Linked DNA regions of Oreochromis niloticus. The protein of the gene in region 2 purifies or fractionates together with the protein of the main gene of each other region. This does not show direct contact. Links are inferred from orthologs where the notes say so. Each region holds a gene or a part of one and is shown on either strand. Other genes may lie near its edges.

What was found.
Region 1: the proteins of sin3b (region 2) and sap130a purify together in Homo sapiens (affinity purification with mass spectrometry; 3 studies listed by BioGRID and IntAct, with this or other methods). This does not show direct contact. The link is inferred for Oreochromis niloticus from reciprocal best matches to the Homo sapiens genes SIN3B and SAP130.

The regions. Positions count from the first base shown.
Region 1 is NC_031986.2:32,733,468-32,741,472, forward strand, and holds the start of sap130a (histone deacetylase complex subunit SAP130a), read left to right. Parts: upstream 1-4,969; 5' UTR 4,970-5,207; intron 5,208-5,708; exon of another isoform or gene 5,709-5,779; intron 5,780-6,617; 5' UTR 6,618-6,633; coding exon 6,634-6,745; intron 6,746-6,822; coding exon 6,823-7,097; intron 7,098-7,546; coding exon 7,547-7,714; intron 7,715-7,798; coding exon 7,799-7,895; intron 7,896-8,005. UniProt on the Homo sapiens protein: Acts as a transcriptional repressor. May function in the assembly and/or enzymatic activity of the mSin3A corepressor complex or in mediating interactions between the complex and other regulatory complexes.
Region 2 is NC_031986.2:44,244,185-44,252,103, reverse strand, and holds the start of sin3b (paired amphipathic helix protein Sin3b), read left to right. Parts: upstream 1-4,902; 5' UTR 4,903-5,190; coding exon 5,191-5,301; intron 5,302-5,536; exon of another isoform or gene 5,537-5,852; coding exon of another isoform or gene 5,853-5,858; intron 5,859-6,439; coding exon 6,440-6,546; intron 6,547-7,172; coding exon 7,173-7,326; intron 7,327-7,919. Other genes in the region: haus5 (HAUS augmin-like complex subunit 5), read left to right, coding at 289-443, 756-918, 1,087-1,167, 1,301-1,446, 1,605-1,701, 2,819-2,957, 3,115-3,247, 4,148-4,250.

The DNA.
Region 1 (8,005 bases), about 12 Mb from region 2:
TCATCCAGCCAGCATGAAGAAAGGTTAAACCTTCATGTATGCATTCCACATACATGCGGACCAGAGCATAACTTACAAAGGCTGTTGTCAGGTCTGCTCCATTTATCGCCACTGTGACTCTTGCCAACTGTGCGAGTGATTCAATCAGAGTGGATCAAGAACAGATGTCAATGTTCTGAATTTTGACTTTGTTTGTTTTTCATGGTATGAAAGTGCAGACTCGTGTGAAATGCACTCCACATAATTCATGCTTCATCTACAGTCAGAAAAATGTTAAAGTCAAGCACCATTTGAAGCAATGTGAGATACAATCGGAGTGTGTGTGAGGAATGAAGGGGACAGTTGGTAACAAATCATCTGTCCTCCTTTCCTTTTGAGCACATTTTGTACTAAAGGCATGTGTGAAATATTTGGAAAAATAACTGTGGGGCTCTGTGTTTTGCCTTGATTTCCATGGAGATTCCAAAACTTCCTGCCTACAGCAGCCATGGAATGTGCCCCCGCCCCCTCAACGTTTCCACATAAATCAGGGCACTGACTTCTAATTTTAGGGATGTTAGAGAGACGATGCAAATCTCTCAGAGGAGGCCACTGGCAGCAAATTTTTCGGCCTGAGTCCACTGCAACATTATTTGCTGAACTGCTCGACTTTATTCAATTAAGCTTTATTTATAAAAAGTCAGTGTACAATAACAGTCACCTCTGTGTAGTACGGTAAAGACTCAACAACATTAGATCAAATGAGCACCACTTGGTGATGGTGGAGACGAAGAACTCCAGCAGAAGATGCATCCAGAAGGGAGGAGCTGACATCTTAGGGGAGAAAAGGAGCTTATTCTGCTCTCCTACTTCAACCCAACGTCACAGCAAAGCTCTGTCGATTTCAGCTGAGCATTGTTTGGGTGACACGTCACTCTCTGTCACGTTCTCATGAGGATGATGCCTTTTTATCTTGCTAACGTGCTTTGTCTTGGGTTTTTTTAAGACAAAAGTCCAAGTCACCACTATCAGCCTCTGCAGCGTTTTATCAGCGCTGTTCATGTACAGCATGTCTTTAAGCTCCATCCATCTATTTTCTTCTTACCCAATGGGCTGGGGCCTAGAGCAAGACGGGGGCACACCCTAGACAGGTCACCAGTCGATAGTAGGACCAACATAGAGAGACAGACAACCATTCACACTCACATTCGTGCCATTATTCAATTTATAATCTCCAATCAACCTATGTATATCCTTGGATAGTGGGAGGAAGCTGGAGTACCTGTAGAGAACCCATGCAGACACGGGAGAACGTGCAAACTCCCTGGCCAGATGGTGGCTTTGAACCCAGTTCTAACCTCAACTCCACTCTGCCCATCGTGGACCCTCAACATGAACGTCTGAACACGATCCTCCATCTGCTCTCTGGCCATGTGTTTATATTAGCCTAACTATATCTCTTTAGCTAGCCACCAGTTAGCACATCATTATATATCTACATCTGGGCTAATGTCAGTAACTTTCTGCTAAACCCTATAAAAGCTTTTTTTTCATGGATGCCTGGACATGAAACTTTACTGTAACACCTGGGAGAACAGCCAAACTGATCACTTTATTGGAGCTGAAAGAATCTGGAGCTTTGTGAGCTCTCTGTGGTGCCTCAGTGTTTGATTGAGTTCAGACATAATGACTTGTTTAATTAATTGAGTTGTGAGGTAATGAAGCTGCCATGTTTGAAAGGGGTTCTTGGGGAGAGTATACTTCATTAACCACGGAGAACCTCTCTTTGGCGGTTTGGCTGGTTGCTGTCTGGGTCTGCTAGTGGTTTCCAGTGAATCAACTGAGCTGCACAACCCAGAAAGGCCGATTCACTGTAGGGAAGGAATTATTAGATGAGTCAAAACAATCTGTGTCTGTAGCAACACGGAGAGACATGCTGCAGAGGACAACCTCCAGGCCAGAGAAAAACCAAAAAAACCAAAAACAAAAATGAGTCAGCGTTAAGATCAGACATTGTACAGCTGTGAAAAGTCACTTAACTGAAGTCTGAAATGGTTATGAGTAATTAACAATGCCGACAAATGAGTAAGAGTCAAACTGGTATGTCACAGAAAAACAGTGTTTCTTTCTTTTGCTTGTACTCATGTTAACATTTCCTTGAATTTTAGTCACTGATCTTACTAACTTACTGCTTACTTCCTTGGACTCATTTAATAGTACCAAATAAAACCAGTCACAAATAATATCCAAAGAATTCACGAGCGTTTCACAACTTAAAGAAACATACCGGCAGGTGTATGTGAGTAACTGAATGGGCACAGCTGGGGAATTCCAGGGCATGCCTCAGCATGCAGCAGTGGTTGAATAACCCTTTATGATCCAGGTGGATATAAATGACGACTATGTGGAGAGAGCTGATCACTGATGAAAGATCGTTTGTGAATTTTCACTCATGTTAATGCAGATAAAGGACTTGACACTGTTTTAACCCTTAAGTGAAAAAATATTGTAGTGACTTAAATAACTGTTATATTTTATATTCAGATATACTCTTTTAAAAGGTTCTGTTTTAGTTTATCGTACCAATACCCTTTACTTTGTATATGATAGAGATCATAAAATATTCCAATGTCAATTATTATGTTCAGTCATTTTTATACAACCGTCTATTGTCTTTGTTCCTGGAGCTGGTTATATGTTTGAAGTTTGGAGTCCTGGTTTAATCATTGACGTGTGAAGTTTATGAGTTTGATTTTTGTTTAGTTTTGGGTTCCAGTATTGGTTTTATTATTACTCTTACCTCCCTGTGTTCCCCTGTTTTGTGTTTACTAGGAGTTTTCCTGTTCCATATTTAGCAGTGTCTATTTCCTGTTTTACTTTGAAAGAGTTTTTCCCCCCTGTGACTGCTTGCTTCAGTATTTCTGTTGTCTTGACTGTTGTTGTTAAGTACTATGTCCTTCATCTCTTTCAACTCTTTTGTATGATCCCAGTCAGGCACCAGTATATAATCTTATGAAACTTCAGCGAAATTCAATATTAATATCCTAGATTATAAAAGTATATAAATGGCAGAAAACATGAAAAAAACATAAAAGGTGCCATAAAATTGATAGTTTTTTAGCCTTGAAAAATAGTGCATATAATTAAGTGCATATATAAGTGCAATAACTAAAAAGTCTCTGTCAGCAGCCCATATTTACTTACATATTTACTTACAATAAAAGAGCAATTTTGGATTGTGCTAATGGAGGGCAGCACATTTCCAAAACAGGGCAAAAGAAAAAGGCATGGCATCAGCAAAGTCGCTGGGCAACAGAAATATCTGTGCCAAATTCATCCTACAGTTGTTGAACCGACCTTTAAACAGACATTTCCACCTGTTAGCTAAAAATCAGCTAGAGTCCCAAAAACAGCATCATAAATCAAATCATTTAAAAACTATATAAAGTTTCATATGTCCTAATCCTGTCCTATCTATTTGATCACGCTGATGGTATGAGATGTGTAGTTCGTAATCCAGCAGCTGAATAGCCTAAGGATATGACCCAGAGTTGTGCATAGTTTTATATCTTTCCAATGGTTTTTATTTTGCTGTATACATTTTTTTTCCAGATGTGTAGTTTCACTGTAATTGTAGTCTCAGTAAACAAAGATAAACTAAAGCAATAATTTTGACCAAAGCAGAAAATCACAGAAAATATTGTTCTAATTTTTCCCCTTAAGCTTAGTTCTTATTTTTATGTCAGTTAGCTAAAATATTTATATTTTTACATGTACTTCTACATGTAGTTAATAATAATAACTTTGACATATATCAGGGGAGCTTCCAGGATGTTTAAAAAAATGGCCCACAGGAAATCAAAAGATATATGATCAGAAATATACATGGGGGAAAGGTGGCTAGGTAAAAATCTGGATTTGGGGGCTGGTACAGATGTTTTACATGAAAAGGGACTGAAGAAGTGTTTGAGCATAATTTTTTATTTAAAAGCTGCTTTAAATATGAGTCATAACCCCACCCACTAATGCAAAAAAATGTTATCACTGAAATATACTTAAAGGACCTAAAGTAAAAATACTCATTATGCAGATTCACATATGTTATTTAAATGCATTATAATTATCAGTTCATCTTTAAAGAATGTAAAGATGTTTTGATGACTGGCTGCTGCTCTCTAGTGTTTATGTGCAGGTATTACAGTTGCTCCTCCTCTCAAACTGACGCCTGGTGTGCTGGGACTGAACTACATGCCAGAGCCTTTTTAGTACTGGGGTAAGCATAAAGTGACAGAGAACAAGATGTCTTTAACGGCTTGGATTTTAATGTTTTGAAGCTTTACTTTAAGTTTTGTTCCTGTCCTTGTGATTGGTGACAAAAGGATAGCAACATGAGTGAAAGGGAAGATTTAGAAGCTTTCTTTGTGTGTTTTGCATCTAAGTGAAAATGAAAACATAAAAAAATAATAATAATTAAAAAACCTAGGGTATTTTAAAGGGGATATGTTTTATCTGATTTGCAAATGGAGACTGATCTCCCGTTTATTAAAAAACAAAAATCAGACAGTGGAGACCATTTTAAAAGAGTTTATTTCTCCCGTAAATCTGGAAATTTGCGTGTTAAAGACAGCTTAACGTTTAACAGGATTTACGATATTTAATTACATTTTAACAAGTAGTGATTATTGGAATATACCAAGAGTTGGTACATTATGAGGGATGCCTGGAATCCTTTTCTTTACATATATTGGGGTGTTTTTTGTAATTTAATTCTTGAATTATGTGTCTGGTCGCTCATTTCTTTGAATTAATTACTTTCTGTGCGGATATTTCATTGCTGTTGAAGCATAGACAGCATCAAGTGGCCTTTAGAGGAACTGCAGTTTTCTGCGCTTCCGCCTTGGCTTCCTTTTTTCGGAGGTTCCCACTTGGCTCCAAAGTGAGCTCGATTGCGTCCGTCGATCACGTGACTAGAGTGTCTTAGCGTCTCCCCCAGGTCCCCCTTAACAACCGCCTACCTCCCTCAGCCCGTTGTACTACTTTATGGCGCTAAAAACATTTCTATTGGCCAGCGATCGAGCAGTCCCTTCTCTGGTTGGTTGAATGTAGAAAGTAGGTGCAGTCCTTTCTCAGCGGTCTTCCGGCTTGCATTTTGTGAGTGAAAAAAAGAAAAGACGAATGGAAAAATTGTAATCCACAAAACGAGCATTGCCCAGTAACTCATCGATACGGTAAAGTCTGCGCATACACAACAGCCTTTTTGTCCTTTTAGCTGTAGAAAGTTCGTGCCGCTGTAGTCTGTAGAAAGTTCAGGATTTGGCATGAAAAGCAGGTTAGCAGGGCTAGCGCTTCCAGTGTTAGCATGCTGCTAGGTGGGATAGCTGCCTAATGAGGCAGCTTTTCGGTTTTAGGGTTACAGAGGCTAAAACAGCCACCACGGTGGATAGTATCTGACTGAGCTGAAAACGCGTGTGATTCTAGCTGAAAGGCCTTTTCTGTGCATGCTTGTTAACGTCATATTTGGTGCGCATCGACTCAGTTTGCTGTCTGTCATACGATACCGACTACATAATGTCAAACAAAGGTGCTGAAGCTGTTCGATCCCTTTCAGACATTCAAATGTAGCTTTTTCTGTGATTTTAAACACCTCTTAATTTCATGGACACGTCCTCTGCCCTCCGTCTGTCCGTTTTACGTTCCCGCGCTGCATGTGAAGGGTTAATCTACAGGGCTTTTGTTGTTGTTGAGGTCCTCGGACCGGATCGTCGAGAGCAGACGTTTTCAAATGTTTTGTGACCAAAGGGTGAGCTAAAATTTCACGGCACACTTGTATTTATACCTGGGGAAAATAACCCTACATTCAGGCCGGGAATTTAACGCCATCCCGGGATACTTAAGCTAGCCCTGTGGTATTCAGGGCTTACAGTCTCAGGTTGTCTGTACGTGGCTACAATAATTCACTTTAATAATTGGATGTTTTAGTATTTTCAGTGAGAGTGAAGAGAGTCTGTATCCATAACTATGCAAAGCACGTCCATAATGAACAGTTATGCCGTTATTTAAGATATTTGTGCCATAAATATATTTCATTTTTAAATCGTAGTAGGCATACAGCGGCTGTCTTTAGTTTTTGCCAGTCTGGAAAAAACCCTATTAGAAGCTGAACTGTACTGTGCAAAAAGTACATTAGGAAATGGGTGCAGAAATTATTTGAAACATGCAAACATACATGGAAATGGAGTACATAAGGCCAAAACGGAGTTTGTGCAATTCTAACGAGCTTGCATTCCTAACGTTTTGCATTCATAATTATATTAATTTTCAAAACATCCTCAACATGACTGAGCCTCCATTGTGTTTTACAGATGGCGGTGGAAACTCACTTTTGAACCTCTTTCCTCACCTTCTCCCGTTATATCGACAACAATTTGACCCCAAAAATCTCACTTTTTGATTAATAACTCCATCAGACCAGTTGTCACAGATTTTCAGTCAGTTTCTTGTGTGATTTGGCAAATCTGGCATTCCTTAGCCTTTTCTCCCTGTTTCTCATGATGCCTACGGTGGTGTTTTTAACTTTTAACTTTGTCATATCATGTGTGCATCTGCTTTGGAGTTAATGTTGCATGTTCCTGTTTTAGATAATAAATAGTTAAAATGAGCTCCCAGCAATTCCCCCGACACGGGCTGCCTGCTTCCGGTGGAGGAGCACCTCAGATCCCAGCGGCTGGAAACCTGGTGCCTGTCAATCAACCGTCAAGCGCTTCAGGTAACATTTAATCACACAAAAACGGCAGAGAAGATGTAAGTGTGTAGTTGATGTCTAATCAAGTTGTTTTTCCTTAGGTGGAGGTGGTGGAGATGCAGACAGCAGTCGGGATGGTGACCACGGTCAGCATGATCATCCACCTGCCGGTGGCGGGGGAACCTCGGCGTTCAGAGATGAAAAGCAAGAGACCATGGTGGTCAGACCATACCCACAAGTACAGACGCAGCTCGGCCAGCCTCCAGCTGCCACCCAAAACGTGGCCATTCAGCCCGGCACACCTGCGACCCTACCTACCCCCTCTGTCCAGCTCCCACAGGGCCAGCCTGCAGTGCTTACTGAAAGCCAGATGAAGGTGACCTTTAAGTCTCTGTTTGAGTTTCTATAAACTTAACCATCTCCAAAGTAAAAATAACATAATTTACTCACTTATATTGGCATCGTTTTCTGAGTGTAGCCACTGTTCAACATAACATTTTCCCCGCGGTCTCAGTTTTTGCAATTCCTGAAAATAATAAGATGCCAATTTTCCTTACTTTTTTAAAAGTATGTTATTGTAGACCAAGTTACCCAACAATAAATTAAAAAAGATCAAATTAGCTCTGAAGTACCAAAAGGTTCAGTAAAACTCTGATCTGTGGGGGAAAATATTATGCTGTAGACAGGCATCTCATCATAGGATATTTCTTTTTTCACTTGAGCTTGAACTTTTCACCTGGGCTGTCTGAATCTGATCATCTAGCTCGTATTATTTGTTAAAACAAACAGATGTTAATTTTTTTTTTTGATTGTGTCTTTTTTCAGGCGGTCTTGAAGTCACCGATGCCAAGTCGTCTTATTGCTCCAGCACCAGCTTCCAACCAGGCTCATATGCCCATACCCCCCAAGGTGCCTGGTCACATAACGGTCACCATCGAGAGCAGCATCGCTACCACCCCGTCTATCCCTGTGGCAACCATCAGTGGTCAGCAGGTGAGTCTTTTCTACATTTGCTTTTAATGTTTGTCTTTTTCCTGCTGATTACTAAAGACCTGTACTGCTTTCTTGGTGTTTAAGGGTCACTCAAGCAACGTGCACCTGATGCCGAACTTTCAGATCATCAGGACCCCTGCTGCAGTTTCTCAACAGAACTTCCCACCACACTTGCCTCGAGGTATATAGCGAGGAAGACTCCTGTGGGAGTACCTTTAGTGCAACTTTGGGAAACGAGTACTTGTAAATGATCTGTCAAAGAGAAAGTAAAATTTAGATGCGGACTGATTT
Region 2 (7,919 bases):
ATTGACTTTAAATTGTTTGGGAAGGGACTTATAAACCCTCATGGGTAGCAACAGTGGTGGCACATATTTGAACCGCAAAGTGCCAAAAGTTCTGCTTCTATAGTGGTGCTCACATTTGCTGATGATCAGTTAATGAAATATGCAGAAGCAGTAAGGGTGGACTTATTTTTCACACATTATGTCCTGATACATAAAATCGTGATCAAACCATGATCATCTCTTTCTTTTTCCTGGAATCTGCGATTGGTAACTTTTTATGCATGGACCCGCATGTGATTGTTGCTGCAGGCTGCGTGGGAAGAAGTGGAGCAGAGCTTGGTGGAACTGGCCCAGACTCGCTCCAGAGTCCAGCAGCTCAAAAACCAGCTGCAAACCCGTAAGAAGGACGCTGAGCTCGAGGTGTCCAGTATTAGAGATGAGCTCCAGGATGATTCCTTGGCACTGTAAGTTCATTCCAATTCAATCTCTGCCTTTGCCATGCATTTTGTTATTTTTTTTTTTGCAGTACTGCAACTTGGGAGTTGGGTTTCTGTGAGGGGGGAAAAAAAGGTCCAACAAACAGCCACTGTTATTGTTGTTTTTATCTGAACGATACAATTTTTCTGTTGTCAACTCAGTTTTAAACTTTGTATTTGCATCCTGTTTGAAAACAGCTATGTGAGTTCATTTTAATTAGTGGTAATATCTTTAGAGGCAATAATTTTGTCTTGTCTTCTACTTGTGCTTTTTATTTTCCTTGCGCTCTGAACTCTTAGATCAGCTCTTGAGGTGGAACTACAGTGTGTGATGCAGGCAGCTGCCAGGGATTATATCAGAGACCGCTGCATCCAACTTGACCAACATGCCCAAAGTCGACAGGAGGCGCTAAGAAGCCTTCGCAGCCAGTGGCAGAGCATACTGGACTTCAGACAACTAGTGGTGAGAGTTGACAGACAGTATTTTTGGATGAAATATTTTCTACATGTATTATATACTGTAGATCTTTGGTCTAGATGTCTTATGTTTGCTAGGTGTGAGAAGACTGACTTTTCGTCAGCATTTGTTACATCATAAAAATAATCATGTTCTGCTTTCTTGTCTTTACAGCTTCTCAGACAAGAGCAGATCAGAGGTCTGATTAAGGGGAACTCGACAGCAAAGACGCAGCTGATTCATCTTCACAGAGAGGTCAGGATCAATGACAGTGAAATATGTTTGATGAGAGGCTTCAGTCTGGGGTGAAAAACGAGAGTGACTAAAATTTAATTCTTATGTTTTTTTGTAGCACTCTGAGGATTTTAATCTTTGCGTTTTGTCTCAGTTAGAGGAATTCATCCAGGCAAAACTAATGCCACAATTTGAAGATGTGACCGCTGCAGCCAACAGTCTAAGGAACGCTGTGTCTAAGGAGGCCAGACAGATGGGAGCAGTTTCACTTCTTTCACTGGACCGCAGAACTATCGAAGGGTATGAGCATGTTGCTTGGTATCCCTATATTTGCCTCATTGGTGGTACATCTGTGGCCCCAGCTGCAGTGAATCAAAACAAAAACATATTTAATTGTTGTCCTTGTCCAGGGGTGACATTCACTGACCAGAAATATAATTCCATTTTGTTTTGTTTAGTATGCAACGAATTCCTGCATCATGGTTGTCCATCCATCGCTTGCAGTCCCCGACCTTCAGCAGCTTGTGTCAGAGTCTGGCATTCCCTCTGTACAAGGTGATTTTTGGCATATAGTGTGTAAAGTGTTGCAGTTTTACTGTTTTCTCTTTGATTCTGCTCACTCTCACAGTCATGTTTTGCTACGGTTGCAATCTGTTTATAATGATATGGTGATTAATTAGCGAAAATTGCAAATCTGTGTCCCTCCCTTACCATCTAAATACCACAGAAATTCATTTAATTACTTGCATTAAGAGCCCAGCCAGAACCTCATAGGTTTAAAACAAATTCTTTCACAAATGGGGACGTAGTTACTGCAGGTCAGCAGTTTATTGCAAATCGACAGGCAGTTAGAGTCTTCTCTTACAAATGAACGCTCTGCAGACGAGCTCTTCTCTTCAGCTGACTCCGAATGATTGCATCATTCAGGCAGACTGTCTGTGTTTGTAAATTAGACTGATTATTTGCAGACAACCTTTGCAGTCGCCTTGTGATTGAAGGTGGTCGCCAGAGTTTGAGAGTGTTGCATGCTCAAACTCAGGGCGTCCAGCTGGAGTCGGTTGCTTAACGCTAAAAAAAATTAAATGCAGTCACCGGGCAACCACTTCATTCTTCCTTCCTTCCTTTGCTGAAAGGAGGTTACTATGATGATCTTACTTTAGTGTGACTGAGTCATTTGCTTCAGTAAAAGTAGATGTCAGTCAGTGGAGCATTGTTCTGAACTGGTGACATCATGATTTTTGTGTTGTATTATTTTAAAATATTCAACTTGTAATTTCAGTCACTAAAACAGTTTATTCAGTCATGCTGCCTGGGTAATGGCCTCCAAAGAAATCTTCTAAAGGGACTTTGTGACCGTCTCACTATCCTAACATCACTTGTGTTTTCCTGTGGCTCTTTCTCAAATGATTTTCTACAAAATCAGTGTTTGCAGCCAACTCTTAAATGTGCCCTAAGTGATTGTAACGGACTGTCATTGATCGATGCTGAACCCCTCACAACCAGAGATGACAAAAATTGCATCTTTGAAAGCCAGTTTCACTGAGCAGAAGGAAAATAGAGTTACATATACCAAAGCTGCTGGGAGGTGTCCTTTTTCACTTTTTTATTTTTCCTCATATATTGCATACTAGTAACTTTTTTGACTTTCTCTGACTTTCACACCCAACTTCAGGCTCCGGAGGAGTTGTGTTCCCGATCTCGCTCACAACAGCTTGAGCTGCGTTTTCTCCGTCAGTTACTTCAGCTTCACTCTGCCACTCTGCAGAAGATAAAGAAGGAAGCGGATCAGCTGGAGGCATCTGATCAAAAAGGTAACCAGGAGAACTTATCAAGAGAGAAGCGTTTGCTTTAAACACAAATGAGGGCAGTGTTTGGTGTACACGTACTTAATATGTTAGGAAATTTCCACAAAAAATAAAATGCTCGGTGGATTTTTAGTAACATACTGCTGTCTGTCTGCACTCTTAGCTCTCCTGTCCAGAGTCATGGAGGAGGACCAAAAGCTTCTCAAGTCTTTGGTACCAAGAGTCAGAGGGCTCACTCACCGCTGTGCACAGGGCCTTTCTTATGGGGACCAAGTCAAAACTGCCATCTCTTATTGGTGAGACACAGTTCTTAAATCGATGACCTGTTATTATTATTATTTTAATTGCTGCTTAATCGAGATTTCTCCTTTCTAATCTGGGTGTATTTTTACAAATTGAGATCTGGGAATTACCTAGAGTGACACAGTTACCTGAACAACATCTGCAAGTGAATGGATGAGTTATCACTAAAAAAGCATGTTTTAAACACTCATTAGAACTACTTCCTGGTTTAACCTTTAGACAATACTAAGATTATTCGTGCACACTTTTGTATGTGTTTTTTCTTTCCAAATGTAAGTGATTTAGGCAGTTTTAATGATCTTTCATTGATTGTCTGACGAGGCTTTTGTTGCTGGAGTCCATTATGAAGAGATAAATGTACTTGCCATTTTTAACTGGTTACCATAATGTGATGGATAAATTACACCTGGTCAGTGATTCTGATTATTACTGACTGACTGACATCTCATTATTCCAGAGTGAATATACAGTCTTGGACTAAAACCTTTTTTTACTGGTGATCTTCTAGATTTTAGATTTTTTTGTAGAAAATGTAGAAGCTTAATCCAGGTACAGAAACTGGCTGATAGTGGTTTAATTCATCTAATTATAGTTTTGCAGCTCAATCTATTTAAAAAAAAAGAAAAGAAAAAAGACCAGCTTTCTTAATTCATTGGTAGTAAACTAAGTCTTAAACCTTACTGTTAACTTGCCTATCTACACACAGGTGATTACACCATTTGTAAATGACTTCATGGCTTGAATTTAACCCTGCCAAAACATTCATGCCAGTACATCTATCTGAGGCCAATATCTAACTGAATTTATTGGCTCTAATTATTTTCCATTCATGCCCTTGCTCAGTAGTCCAGCGTCTCATTCTCTGGTTAACTTCCCTGTTTTGTGTGTTGTAGGTGGGAAAGGCCAGCCCAGCATGTTCTTCCTGAGGTCAGTAAAGGAGGACTGACTTTTCAGCAGTGGTTACAAAGGTGGAAACTAGCAGCAAAGTCCCCATAGTTGAATACTATGATGGATTCCTTTCAGCACCTTTCAGTGGTAGAATGAACACTGTGTTGTAGATATTTAATGCACAAATGGTGTTTGTTTGTTTTTTCTCTCATTTGTCATCATTACTCCTAATGTCTTACCATGTGTAAATCAGTCACTAATAAACCCTTTTGAAGCGAAATATTTGTTCCTTTCTTCTTTGCGTCCTCATATCCATTGAAGTTGTTTAAAACTGCCTCTGGCTCCTGCGTTGGAAAACCAAGCTGAATCCATTGTGAATGCCCTCTGAATGAGCCGTAGGTGTCTATCAATAGCCCTGTATCGATCTTTCTCACAGTCGGCATTCGGTCCACCGTCGAGCTCGTATTCGTGGGCACCGTTGTGGAGTGTGCAACCATCCTTTGCATGGAGTAGCGCTGCTCCTTTGTAGCAGTGAAGGGGGAGTGGAGCAATCTGATTCTTGTGAACTCAGCTCCTCCCATCGCTGCGACTGCGCAGTTCAATTTTTCACTTTTTTTAATTTTTTTAATTTTTTTTTTCACTCCTACTCTGGCTTCCGGACGCCAAGACAGAGCGCTGCCGCCGAATTTAAAGAGACAGGCTTTAGTTTTTTTTAAATACGAAAAACGGTAACCATTGTCTCTGGGCTTATTTTCCGATACTTCTCGCCTGGGCTCGTTTAATTCGATGGTGATGTTTCATCAAAGTCACCGAGAGTAGCAGGTTGTCTGTCATCAACCTTCATTCTGCTGGATTTCCCGTCCTTTTTTTTTTTTTTTTTTTTTTGCCTCTGTACCTAGACTGTCCAGCTAGGCAGAGTAGGGTTGCTTGCTGGCAGGCTGGCTTCCCGACCGAGAGCAAGGTTTGTCGGCTAGCCAACAACTGGAGGTAACGCCGAAGCTTCCCTCAAGTTGTGGTAGCGGCTCTCGAGCCTCCTGTCGCCGGGATAATGGCGAAGATTCAGGCGCACAGCACCGCGAAGCAAATAAACCAAATTCAAGACAAGCCTTACGTTATAACACAAAAGCAAGTGCAGCAGCAGCACTTCCAGAAGCTGAAGGTAAGGAGACAACGGACATGACAAGGGAAAAGTGGCTGAGAGTCAGAACCATTTTGTTCGTCGGATCATTGCATTGGATTTGAGGCTTTTTTTTTCTCTTTCTCTCTACTGTCGTCGAGAGTAGTGAAAGGAACGGCTGGCTAACGTTAGTTAGCTCGCTGGCCTATTAAAAGTAATTCATTGCTAAACAGCCTAACGTTGACATTTAATGTTGGATTTAGAAGCTGTGTTTCGTTTAGTGTATGTGCGAGTGACAGTGGAGTGGCACAGTTAGTGGTACTTTCTCATTTGCCATATCAATAAGTGCTTCTGTGAGCAAACGTTAACTCAGACCTCGTTTGTGGGAAGTTCCTCCTTGTTCGTTTTTTCAGCCACCCCGAACAAAGTGGAGGACGTCAGCCAGGCTAGCCAAGAACGGCTATTTCACTTCATTAGCAGCTTCAGTACACGTTTCTTTGTTATAGTAGTGTTTTAATATGTCGTACTGTTTTTGCCAACGCGACACTGTTGGCCGGGGACCAGCTGTGACTAAACATATTGTATAAATTTGTATGCGGGTAGGTGTTGCAAGTGTTGGTGGAGTTATTATCGTCAGTCGACTGGCTAAACGTTAGCTACAACAACCCTCTTTAAGATGTGGACTATTTGTGACAATGGCTTGTGTGAAGACATTTTTTCCCCCTTTAGCGCAACCTAAACTAGCCTAGCTGTGGTAGCGAAAGAAAGCAGTGGAGTAATGAACAAAAGCTGCCTGGTGTCTCTTGTGTATGCCCAGTTATTTATTTATTTTAGCGTTAGTTGTACAGCTTGTACTGCTAACCAGAGGATTTGTTGATGTTGCACTTTGGCTGATAGTGAAGAAATCGGTCAGCATTCACGTAACTTCACGTATGCAGCACTGAGACAAATCTGTACGATGGGGCTACCTGTAATTTCATAGTACAAATCGCAAATAAATGCATTTATTAATAAATGCAAAACGTAGCATTTGAAATCTGTAAACAAGCTTTGTAGCTGTAAAATTATCTACCGTGAGCACCATGACTGGATGCTGGGGAAAATGCTGCTCCATACATCCAGCTGAGGCTGTCTGTGCTTTGCTCTGTACTGATTTTTCCTTCTTCTTCTCCATGTTTAGGTTGAAGATGCCTTGTCATATCTGGACCAAGTCAAAATTCGTTTTGCGAATGACCCTGGGATATATAACAAGTTTCTCGACATCATGAAGGAGTTCAAGTCGCAGAGGTATCATTGGGCATTTATGCAAACAAACCACAAGTAACTACTATACAGGGGCACACAGGGAACACAGGGAACACACTGATTTCTGTTGTGCAGTTTTTAAGGGAGGTGGTCCAGATCCACTTTAAAATACAGTGGGATCTTCATTTCCCCATACGCCACCAAGTGTTATGAAATTCAGCTTAATGGTTTTTGTATAATCTTGTGACCAACTGGCAGCTGTACCTCTGCTAAGGTGAAAACCAGAAGTAATAGGAGTTCTAGTAATGCATTCTTAATGACATACATTCCCATACATATTCTTTAGATGGTGATTGTGCTGCTTGTGTATGGAGTTTCATTACGTTGTGCAGTTTAATCCTTGACTAGTTCTGTTTCACAATCTGGAGTTTATCAGTGCATATGATACTGCACATAGCTTCTTACTATAATTATGCGACAGGTATTATTATCTTGAAATTAAACGAGGACTAAAAGCATTTCCTCTTTGCTTCTTTTTCTTTAAAGCTAACTTGTATAGCGCTTATTAATAACTTGTTTTCTGTTTGTGCTTTGTGGTGTTTGAGAGAAGTACTTAATCAGTGTTTCTCAACCAAACTTCTAAAGTATCCGTATGTCTTCTGAAATAGCATCGACACACCGGGAGTGATAAACCGTGTATCACAACTGTTTCATGGACACCCAGACCTCGTCTTGGGCTTCAATGCCTTCTTGCCACCGGGGTATCGGATAGAGGTCCCTAAGAATGGGATGGCTTTCCTTCAGTCTCCTTTCTCTGCACAGGTAAGATACTCTTTTTAAAGAAAAACATGCTTTCTGCTTTACTGATATCTGAATACAATGTACAGCAGGGTATGCTGACGGCATTATATGTTTAAGACCACAGAACATCTTAGGAGGAAACAGGTGTGCTTCTACTGCCCTGAACTTCAGCTGAATGATCTGCCTGAAAAAGCCCTCACGAAGGTTTCACTACAAAATGTGACAGCAGATTTGTCTGTCTGGTAGTTGAACAAAATTTCAGCTGGAGTTCTGCTTCTTCCTGTGCATGTTTGGCTGAAACAAGCACTTAAATCCCATCACAAAGAGCCAAATATATACAAGTTGTATATAAAAAGAATTTCAGAGATTAGGAATCTATGTTAGACTTTAAAAGAATTTTACGGTCTGATACAAAAATAACTACACTGAGGAATTTGTAATGATTTCACTCGGTGGCATTCAAAACCTATTTGGTCCGTGTCAGATTGAGTTAAACTTTTATATGTTTAAGCTCTTTCAGTTTCTGTGTACAATTTTATTATTTTAAAGTAAAAGCTGGGAACTAACTTCCAGTGATGTTTTGTTCTGAGAGATGGATCGTGCTTAGGTAGTGG